3 linked regions of the Arabidopsis thaliana genome follow. The protein of the gene in region 3 interacts with the protein of the main gene of each other region in a pairwise test. Each region holds a gene or a part of one and is shown on either strand. Other genes may lie near its edges. The genes, in order: EXO70H1, IAA15 and HB32.

The links.
Region 1: the proteins of HB32 (region 3) and EXO70H1 interact in a two-hybrid assay, tested with the Arabidopsis thaliana proteins (one large-scale study listed by BioGRID).
Region 2: the proteins of HB32 (region 3) and IAA15 interact in a two-hybrid assay, tested with the Arabidopsis thaliana proteins (one large-scale study listed by BioGRID).

Annotation. Positions count from the first base shown.
Region 1 is NC_003074.8:20,439,912-20,444,346, reverse strand, and holds EXO70H1 (exocyst subunit exo70 family protein H1), read left to right. Parts: upstream 1-1,696; 5' UTR 1,697-1,781; coding exon 1,782-3,692; 3' UTR 3,693-3,856; downstream 3,857-4,435. Other genes in the region: AT3G55140 (Pectin lyase-like superfamily protein), read right to left, coding at 4,122-4,358.
Region 2 is NC_003070.9:30,221,049-30,224,723, forward strand, and holds IAA15 (indole-3-acetic acid inducible 15), read right to left. Parts: upstream 1,722-3,675; 5' UTR 1,655-1,721; coding exon 1,452-1,654; intron 1,360-1,451; coding exon 1,173-1,359; 3' UTR 972-1,172; intron 796-971; 3' UTR 581-795; downstream 1-580.
Region 3 is NC_003070.9:5,045,957-5,049,395, forward strand, and holds HB32 (homeobox protein 32), read left to right. Parts: upstream 1-1,825; 5' UTR 1,826-2,089; coding exon 2,090-2,596; 3' UTR 2,597-2,797; downstream 2,798-3,439. Other genes in the region: AT1G14686 (ENTH/ANTH/VHS superfamily protein), read right to left, coding at 1-844. UniProt on the Arabidopsis thaliana protein: Putative transcription factor.

The sequences.
Region 1 (4,435 bases), on a different chromosome or scaffold from region 3:
GAGTTTAATGTATCTATATAATAATAAGTCAAAAATACCCACTTGGATTATTATGTTCTTATCATTTTTGGGGTTATCAAAGATACTTTATAAACTTTTGACTTTTGCATTGGCATTGTCTTTACTCCGATGATCTACGCCTGAGAGTTGACCGCTTCACAGTCCAGTCTTCAAATTGTTTTCGCACTTACGATATCATTCATTTCTGATTCGTTAGGGCTCCCCCAAGCTTACAATCTTCCTTAGTAAAGTTTGGGAAAAAAACAAATAACATAAACATAATCAATCTCAATCTGAAACGAACTAAACACTACTATAGTTCATTTTCTCTCATATGTATATAACAAGATAATTGTCAAAACAAAAACTGTGAGTTGTAATCAAATGATGGCATTGATCAATAGTCATTGCTTTGTTGATTGAAGAAGATTCCACTTTTAAGGAAAAAAGACAGCTACAATAACTAAATTCTTTAAGGTTCGTTAGCAATGTAACCGAATACGTGAAGTAACACTAGCCATTGTTTAAAGAAAGAGAGTCGTCGAAACAAAACGTTGACTAGCTTATATGCTCTTATAATGATTTAGACAACTCACGTATATACGACGTTGAAGCCAAATTAGTTGAAATGTATATGTAAATGTAGTTGACTTTGGTAAGCGAATCTCCATTTTGGTCTTTTAAGAATCTGTAACGCCTGGAAATTGCCAATACCTCCGGTTCGTATATCTTTATATCATGATTTATGAGTGCGTATATTTGACTTTTTCTTGCAAAACCATACATACATAACATGCGAATGTCTTGTGTCTGTGTATATGATATCTAATGTATGGGAAAACTTGGAATATAGGTTTTATTTTCTTCTAGACAAGATCATGAAGTATAGTACGTATCTTTTATGATCATCTTTTTGGTCAGACGAAAGAATATTAGTTTTATATAATACATAATTTGTGATTTGTTTTTCTATCCTCTATAAGCACAAACATATACTATCAGATTATGACACATCAACAGTGCTAATATAACATTAGGCTGTAAAATCAACTTAAATATTTTGTAACACTTTTCTCTTAACTATTACAATAAACGTATAGCTGTTAGTTTGCAAGGACAGCGTTAACAACTTATTGTATCATAGTATTGATTCAAAACGTTAATTACTGTGATAACTATAACTTATTAACTGAAATGCAGACGTTGACAGACACACAAGAATTGAAATGTAGAAACGCGTTTATATAAGAGAACGCTAAATATATAAATTTCGGACTTTTCTAGTGAAACTCTATTAGTCTTCTTTTTTTTCTTTGGTCAAAAAACTTCCAATACGAAATTCGAACAAGAAGTATAATTAGTGATCAATAATGCGAATGATGCAATAAAAAGTCAAATGAAATGAAATTGATGAATTTAACTGTTATATAAAATTATAAGTTGACAGAATGAAATAGTCATATAATTCTAGTTCTAGACGTGGATAGCAAAAACTTTGTCGCCCATATGTATATAAAATTTGTACTCTAGTTATCTTTTAAGTATATAAGGCTTATATTATACATCGAAGTCAATGGTTCTTTGTGGTCTGGGTCTATAATCACAGGTAAGCACATCGTCATCGATTTCATTTTCAAAGTCAAGACCAATCTCGCTCTCTATATAATTGTTAAAAACCATCTTTCTAATTAAAATAGAAAGAGTAAAAGCCAAGTAACACCATTTTAAAAGGCTTCGCTTTCAATTCAGAAAGAAGAGAATAGAGAGCTTCTTCTTCTTCAATGGCGAAAATGGCGAAATTTTCTTTCTTCTCTTCGTCATCTCCTAAATATCATCCTTCTTCGCCTTCTTCATTCACTTCTTTCCCGGCTTCTCCTCTAAACCAGAACTTTACTCAGGCTATGATGGAGGAAACCGTGGAGACAGCGGACTCCGTCATCAGAAAATGGGACCCGAACACGCCTTCCTTCACCAAGATTGTCTCTCTGTTCAACCATAGCAGGAAGGAGGCTAAAGAGTTCATCAGATGTGTCCGTGATTTGCGCAGAGCGATGCACTTTCTTGTCTCTCAAGACTCTCAATCTCCAAAGCTTGCTCTAGCTCAGACCCTGATGCAGATCGCCATGGCAAGGCTCGAAAAAGAGTTCTTCCAGATATTATCTTCAAACAGAGACAAGCTTGATCCTGAATCAGTTTCCGGTCAATCCTCAATCTCCAGCAATTCTGAATTTGAAGATGTTATGGGATCTGACGACGACGATGAAAGTGACAATGAGATGAGGAAAGCTGGCGAATCGATCACTCAGGTTGAGAAAGCTTCAGCTATGGTGATGTCTGACCTTAAGGCGATAGCAGAGAGTATGATAAGTTGCGGATATGGTAAGGAGTGCGTAAAGATTTATAAGCGGGTCAGAAAATCTATTGTAGATGAAGGGCTGAGCTTGCTCGGGATTGAAATCTACAAAGGCTCCAGATTTCACAGAACGGACTGGGTCACGCTCGAGCATATGATCAAGAACTGGATAAAAGCTGCAAAGATTGGCATTGCCACGCTCTTCCGTGGAGAGAAACTTCTTTGTGATCATGTCTTTTCTGCTTCCAATTCAACAAGGGAGTCATGCTTCTACGAGATTGCAAACGAAGCAGCCACTAACCTTTTCAAGTTCCCTGAATTTGTTGCCAAGGAGAAGAAATCGCACGAGAGGATCTTCCCGCTAATGGATCTGCAGGCTGCAATCTCTGATCTCTGGCAAGACATAGAGATGATATTCCACTTTGATGCAGTAGCTGGTGTGAAATCTCAGGCGCTCACATCGCTGCAAAAACTAAAGGTCTCAATCCACAGTGCTCTCACGGATTTTGAATCAATCATTCAGAAAGATACGACGAAAGCTCTAACACCTGGAGGAGGGATTCATAAACTGACACGATCAACAATGAACTTCATCTCTTCCCTTTCTAAGTACAGCGGAGTCTTGTCGGAAATCCTAGCAGACCATCCACTCCCGAGAAACACTCGCCTGCTGGAATCCTATGTCAGAGCTCCAATTTCGGAAGATGAACAACACAATCACGCACTCTCTGTCCATTTTGCTTGGCTAATCCTGGTTTTGCTATGCAAACTAGACACCAAAGCAGAGCATTACAAGGATGTTTCTTTGTCTTACCTTTTCCTTGCAAACAACCTTCAGATCATCATTGAAACGGTTGGTTCAACTCCCCTAAGGAATCTCCTTGGAGATGATTGGCTCAATAAGCACGAAGATAAACTCTGCGCTTATGCTGGGAATTATGAGATAGCAGCATGGTCCAATGTTTTCATGTCTTTACCAGAAGAACCCACAGACCTATCACCAGAGGAAGCTAAAATATATTTCAGAAGATTTCACACGGCATTTGAGGAAGCATATATGAAACAATCATCACGAGTTGTACCAAATGCGAAACTTAGGGACGAACTAAAGGTTTCAATAGCAAAGAAACTTGTACCAGAATACAGAGAGTTTTACAGGAAGTACTTACCAATGCTCGGCCAGGAGAGAAACATTGAGATCTTGGTGAGATTCAAGCCAGATAATTTGGAGAATTACATCTCTGATCTTTTCCACGGTACACCAATTCATGCATCCTCTTCTTTTTCTTCATCTTCTTCCTCTTCATCCTGGAAATCACTTGGGTGTGTTTCAGGCTGAGAGACTTGATCCATAGTTTTGGCTAAATATTCCATTTTTTACATGATGTGAAGTGAAAAAAATGTAGATACGTGTGTTTGCATTGTGTGTGCAACAGAAAATGAGAACAAAAAAAAAAAAATGAGATTTTCTTTACATAATTTATGACGAGTTCTTCATTATCTAAGAAAAAACAAACTTGCGATACGCTTTAAGAATAAAACGAGTAGTCTCTAATAACCGAAGCTGATATAAATCTGATAAAGAATTCGATTCAGTGATATACATTCAAGAAGCCAATTACAAATCACAAAGAAGAAAAAGGCATAAAAAATCACACACAGCATACTGTAAACATAATGTGCTGAAGAACAAAAGCATTATTCACTCCTTCAATAACTAGAAAAAGAAGGAAATATGATATGCAAGAAAACATTTGAATCGCAACTATTACTTAGGAACTCCATGATCAGAAGGACGGGACAAAGATTGCCAACCGGTACAAATTTGCATGATTTGCTTGAGAGTTTCTGATGGTGGCTCCACAGTCCATGTTGGGTAGTGTTCACTTGGATGGAATACACATTCTTCACTGGCTCCTGTCATCAAGGAAGGTTGAGCTCCATTCAAGAACAAGTCATTTTCAGATCGTACTAACCCAGTTCTCGCTTCTTCCTTGTCAGCAGCCTACAAACAAACTCACACAAGATGATGGTGGTGGATTCAAAATAAGAACAAGATTTTCTCTGATGCAAATGAAAAGC
Region 2 (3,675 bases), about 25 Mb from region 3:
TTTACATTACTACTAAAACTATAAGTTTATTTTTGGATAAATGTTAAAATTTTAAATTTTCAAATGGCACTTCGTTTATTGATAATAGATGTTTCCGCCATGTAATCAATAACAATAAGATATATACAGAGTGCTAGAGAAAAATGTTACAAGAAAGAAATCCGCTTTTATATTACGATCTCTAGGATAATTTAATGTCAATCTCAAGTATTCAATTCCATTTTTAGTTCTTCGTTTATTGATATTCCTGCATGTAATCAATAACAGTAAGGTCTACGAGTGCTAGAGAAAAATGTTACAAGACCTAGCATTCTTACAAAAAAAAAAATCCGCTTTTATATTACGATCTCTAGGATCATTTAATGCACAAATTCGAATGCATAAAAATGAAACGTGTAATTTTTTTAAAAAAAACATATTAAAACTTTGAGCATCCCGTCTTGTCGAGTGTCGATGTCGTCATGCCCGGATCGTGGTGGTCGGCACTGATGCTTAAAAGTGGTTTGTAATTATTGAATTAAAAAAAAAAAAAGTAAAATCATTTAAACAATAGTAGTACATTACATACAAAATCCACGGCCAAAAAAGGTTTGAAATTACATATATAGCATATTGCAATTCAAAAATGCAATTGTATACATCTCTACAGTATTTAATGCATTTGTGATCATAATCTTATATAGCCTTTCGAAGATCCGATGCGTTTACGTTGTGGGAAGCAGAATAGAGACCTATAATCCAATAGCATCTCCGGTTTTCATTAACCTCATACGTTTGCAAGATTCCACAAACATCCTACACAAATTAAATATCATCAATCCCAAGAAAATTTAGTTTCCTTCACAGCAGAATAATACAGTAATTCTAGTTTTGATATGAATGTAAGTAACAAAATAGTACAGAAATTCTAGTTTTGAATAAAAAAGGAAAAGTACGTAAAAGCAACACAAAGGGTAATTCCGAGAACTCACATCCACGGCACATCTCCGACTAACATCAAGTCACCGTCCTTATCCTCGTAAGTAGCAACAAACTCTCCCTTCCTCTCCAACTCTGTCACTCTACCTACCACCATCCAAAACCCCAAGTGTAAGTAAATTTACCATAATATCCTTCACTTCGTCAGTCCATCCAAACACATCAAAATCTTTATTTTTTCCTACTTATCTCGATCACTTACATATTGTTATTATCCCCTGAAACATGTTTTCTAGAGCGGTGAAAAGCTGTCCATAGCAATCGTACATCCCAAGATCAACCTTTCTGAGATAGGCCGCACCATCCAACGCCACTTTCACGTATTTCCGCCTCACTGTTTTCCTCGCTGTCGCTACCGGCGGCCAGCCCACCAACTGGTCACTAAAACCACAATAAATTAAGAAGATCAATCAAACATGCATATGACCTATATGAACGATAAATGAAATTAATATAATATATATATGCCGTACTTAGTGACCATGCTTGAGATATAATTGTTCTCGTGTGCTTCCCCGAGTTTTAAATCAACGGTCTCGAGGAATCTACGTTTGTTCCCGAACTTTTTTGGACCTTCCGATGCATTTGTCGGAGTGCCAGGCAAAGCTAGGGTCAGCTCAGTTCCTCCAAGATCACCGGAATCCGGCCAAACCCTAACGTATTCCTCCGGTGACATTAATATCTTAATCTATTTATGAAAGTTAGTTAACAACAAAAGTGCGGAAAGTGATGAGACAATGTGGCACTAACTTTTGGCTTGAGTGTGTGAGACTCTCGAGGTTTCCAACTTTGTATTTATAGTCGATCTATACTTGTCAGCTAAAAAACTAGTGAACCCTACCTATAATGACACGTTTTCCTGTAACTGGCGGTTTTTATATCTCCACGAAAGCAAGTGAACAGTTTGGTGATTAGCTTCTACTTCGTGTGGTGTGGGCTCATTTATAGTTATAGCCACTTAGCATCTTCTAAACTGTCATTAGTGGATGTAATTGCATGTGTACGGATATCTTTTCAGTTTTAATTTCTATTAGCCTGGTATCAAAAGAAGAAGAAGAAGAAGAAATCACTGTCAACTAAAAAAGAAGAAAGAAGAAGAAGAAATCAGCCCTGATCTTTAAGCTCCCACGTCACGACTGATGGGTTCGATTAAGGAGAAAAATATATAATTTGATTATATTATCCACTAGCATTCACAAAACGAGAAAAATATATATTCTAAATACCATTATTTACTTTCTAAATAGAGTTGAAAATATCATTTTAATCGCATTCATGTTACCTTTGCTTATAATCGTTGGAAAATATAATAAACTTTATTCCCATATATATTTGTTTGTGTTTGTCAACTTCAGTCCAATAATTTAACATTAGACCAAAAAAAAAAAACTTCAGTCCAATATATTCTTCGGGAGAGATCTTCAATAGTGTTCCTTTTGTCTACACTTTGTTGTCGCTTTACTCCTTTAAATTATCATTCCAACTAACTTTTTCTTGGTAAAAAAGTTTCACCATTATATATGTACATCAACTTTCACTGTCGTCGGTCGAAAACAAATCATGGTCTAACAATATATTCCTAATTATCTATCATCGTACACTACACACTAATTAGGTACAATACTTCTTCATTAGTTTAATCTTTCACCGAATATCAGAAGAAATCCCAACTAATATGCGTGTGGATCTTGTAAACAATGAAAAGAATGTTCCCACCAAAAAAACAATGTGAACAGAACTAAATGTTGAAACTTCTACTTCAAAATTGAAATAAAATCTAAAATAAAATATATAATGAACATCAATCATTGTATAAAAGCGATTAAAAGTTTCATGATTTGGGATAAAAAAAGTTAGAGATAGATAACTATCCCTTTTTTAGTGAACAAGTATAAAGTTTTTACTGAAAAGTTTTTCAGTGTCCGGTATTAATTTCATATTAGTCATATTATTTACATGCAATATGAAATGAGATGTCAAAAAAGTTTAGACAAAGGAAAAGAGCAGAACATTAATTACAGCAGCGTAGGGTCACATGCGTAAGTCACGTGACTCTGTTTTTCGTTGGGGAACATAGAATCATAAATGATTTTTTCGATGGTTCACGACACTATTCTTAGACCAATAAGGGCAATAAGAGTTAAACCAGGGGCTAATAGGTCCTACTGGCGACACATAGACGAATTTACCGGTTTCGATTACAAACCCGTGACCGGTAATTCCGGTCAGCCATTGTTTTCTAAGTTTGTTTTCTTTCGTTATAATGCGCATGGAATGAAACAGTCGTATAATTCATTTAACTCGACTCGTAACAAAATATGTGAGATAATAATAAGAAGTACATAAATTTGGTAGCTAGTATTTAATGTTAATTGATACTTTTTGTCTCAAATAATCGAAACTGCTTTTAGGCTCTAGAAAACTGATATTGATGTCTTGGACATTTACTTGGGTATAATAAATTGCGATAACATAATAGAGCGGTCCGAGACTTAGAGAATTACGAAACCAGTAAATTCTATACAGATTGTTTATCCAATTAAGCCCAAACCAATCCAGGTTTCCTACAGTGGGTCAAGAATACATCATGGCAGATTTGATACATCATAATGCCATTATGGTATCAAGCCCAAAATAAGCCCAGTTATTTTTTCTTTCTTTTGTTGTCATTCCATAAAAATCTACATAACGGAATCC
Region 3 (3,439 bases):
TCGCCGTCCTTACGAGTTCATCGAGATGAATCACATCCGCTTCAGGAATCCTTACGAAATTAGGAATCTCTTGAGCATTAGAAACTCCCAAGTCTTTACAAAACTCAAAATACTTTTTTAGCTCTCCTCCTTGCTTCATGGATTTAGCAACAATCTTCAACGCCAAGTCTGCCTCTGTTTTACCTATCTTGGAGTGCACGTTAGGTAAAACTTCAGCAATACGACGACAAATCCAACCGTAAATCTCCATAATCTCACTAACCACATTCTCCATAGCTTCATTAATCACAGGTATCATCATGTTTTCACCAATCGGTTTGATTCTAATCAAAGAATCAACAATAATCTGCATCTTACGAATAATCACAAGTCGAATCAGAACCGATGATTCTTCGTTGTATCGATGACGATTCCCATCGTGAAACAGAATCGATCTTCGATCAAGAAACGCGAAATAAGCACGTACGAAGAGATTAAACCCACCGGATTTGCTCATAATCCGTGAATTACCTTCGCCGAAACTCGAAAGATCGAAAGGTAACCGTCCGATCGATTCTGCTACGGTTGATTTACAGAGGAAGAAGCCGTGCATTAGCATTAAGCCTTTTAAAGCAACCGCCCAGCTTCGCGTGCGTTTCACGCGAGACGAGATTAAGCTTACGAGAGGCTTGAGGCTTGACGGGCTAGAGAGAACGTGACGGTAGATGAATTGAGCGCTCTCTGTATCAATGGAGAGCTCGTCGTGGCTTGTAGCTTTCACAACGGCTGCTGTGAGAATGTCATCAGCCGCGATGAGACTAGGTCCGTCTTTGAGAACTACGGCGGCGCGTTTCCAAAGCTTCATCTTCCGACTAATGTGTGTGGTTTCAAATTGTTAGTTTCTATTTCGCGCTTTATAATTTTCATTTTAAACCGTGTTTTGTTTTCTTTGATGTCAATTCTTTGCTGGTTTAAAACGAATTAGATAAGGATAAGCTAAAATTAAGAAATCTCAGTTTTGACCAAAATAAAAAAAGATATTTTTGATGTCGTTACTAAATTATTATCTTCCATTTTTCAGTTTAACTCGATTGATTACGTAATAAGTTCATTAGATAAGTGTTGTTTGGTTGGCTTTTCTATATGTTTCGTTGATTTTGTTTTGAGGCAATTTTCTAGTGTAGTAGTGTTGTAATCGTATATAATGTATGTGGTTTGAGCAAGTCAAATTATGACTTTGTTTGTACAATATGGAAATATACATATCTTAATTATTAATGGTGTGATTGATATCGTTAAGCCGTAAAATAATCGTTTAGCTTGCTAAATTACACACAAAACATAAAGTAGGCAAATGAACATATACGATAGTGAATAGTCAACTCGTGGGTCACACAATTGCTTTTTTGCTAAACCTCTTAAAAGAAAGCGTTTCAGACTTCTTTTTGCAATAAAATCAGATTCTTTGAAAACTTTTGATCTTTGCTTCTTAATTATAGTTTCATTTTAGTTACAATATATTATTGATATTTCTCAATTTTACAAAATTAGTTTCTTAAATCTTACTTTTATAAATCAAAATACTTCTACTTATTTAGAAACATGTGACCTCTATACAATCCAAACTTATTAAATTTGTTTATACCTATATTAAAAACTTATTACTAATATATTAGTACTAGTTTACTAGTACTAATTAGCCGCTATAGTTTTACAAAAAGTGGTTTAGTTTTCTTATTCCTCATTATTGCTACTACACTTAACCCAATGGATTGAAAGAGTTAACTATGGGTAGAGATGACAACTTTATGAGCTGAGAGGATACGAAATTATGGATGTGTAGAAAAGCAAAGCCAGTGAAACAGTTCAAAAAGTGGGTTTTTCACATTTATTATGACAACTAATAAACACGTAAGTACAAAATCTTAAAGCAAGTAAGTAACAATAATTTTTGCTCTTTTTGTAACTCCCAACTCTTTCTGACACAAAAAAACACCATATCATAACTTAAGTAACCCAAAACCAAACTCTTCCAAAACAAACCCTAAACGCAAAAATCATTACTCAAAAAAAAACAAAGTCTCTCTCTTCTAATTAGAGAGCCAAGAAGATGCAGAGTACTTGTGTCTACAGAGAATGCATGCGCAACCACGCCGCGAAGCTCGGCTCTTACGCCATCGATGGCTGCCGTGAATACTCTCAACCATCCACCGGCGATCTCTGCGTCGCCTGTGGTTGCCACCGCAGCTACCACCGTCGTATAGACGTCATATCTTCTCCTCAAATCAATCACACGCGCTTCCCGTTCACGAGCTTAAGGCGCGTGAAGCAGCTGGCGAGGCTGAAATGGAAAACGGCTGAGGAAAGAAATGAGGAGGAGGAGGATGACACGGAGGAGACTTCGACGGAAGAGAAGATGACGGTGCAGAGGCGGAGGAAGTCAAAGTTCACGGCGGAGCAGAGAGAGGCGATGAAAGATTACGCGGCGAAGTTGGGATGGACGTTGAAGGATAAGAGAGCGCTTAGAGAAGAGATAAGAGTCTTCTGTGAAGGGATTGGTGTTACTCGTTATCATTTTAAAACTTGGGTTAACAATAATAAAAAGTTTTATCACTAACTAATTAACTAATATCCTTAATTGAGATAATACTATAATTTAGTTCCAATTTCATTTTCATCCCTTCTGTGTTAATTTCTCCTCCTTGATCGCTTATTTTAATGGATTATTATTTTATCATTAGTGGGTTTAATGTGTTTGATTTGGACATGTCCTTAATTACTAACTGGTTCACTCTTTAATTGGTCTTTATGATTCTTCTTTTTACGTCGGTGGGATTTGAGTTTTGACAAGACAACTAGCTGACGTTTTATTTATGGTCAATACTGTTCGCCAATCAGAATATTTATACGTAATAATATTGAAGTAGTTGAATAGTAGTACTAATTATTATGGGAAAGGATGGCAAAATGACATTTTGTTTTGATAGAAAATTGTAAAGATTACATATCTAATTCTAAAATTTGTAAATAATTAATGGTAAGATATATTTCACGTAATGAAAAGACAATTAGTTACGGAAATAACACAACATTGTGTTTTTTCGAGGTTTGTTACTAAAAATTATAATGACATCATCAAAGCCAATAAAAGCTGTTATGCTTTTTTTTGTAGAAATAGTCATTTCAAAAATAATTTTTATACTTTTTGCTTTTTTATAAAGTCGTAAAACCATATACTTAAAAGTATATACCAATAAAATTGTGAACTAATTGATTCATAAAATTGTAACTTTGCTACCATTATACCAAGCATCCCATTCCCACGAAAGTTTCAACTTTAATTGGGCTTTTGTTGGCATTTCAAGGCCAATAAGAACACCTTTGAGAAAACTAAAAAACATAGCTCTAGTCTACAATTATTCTAGTGTTTACCTACTGATTTAGAAAATGATTAGGATTT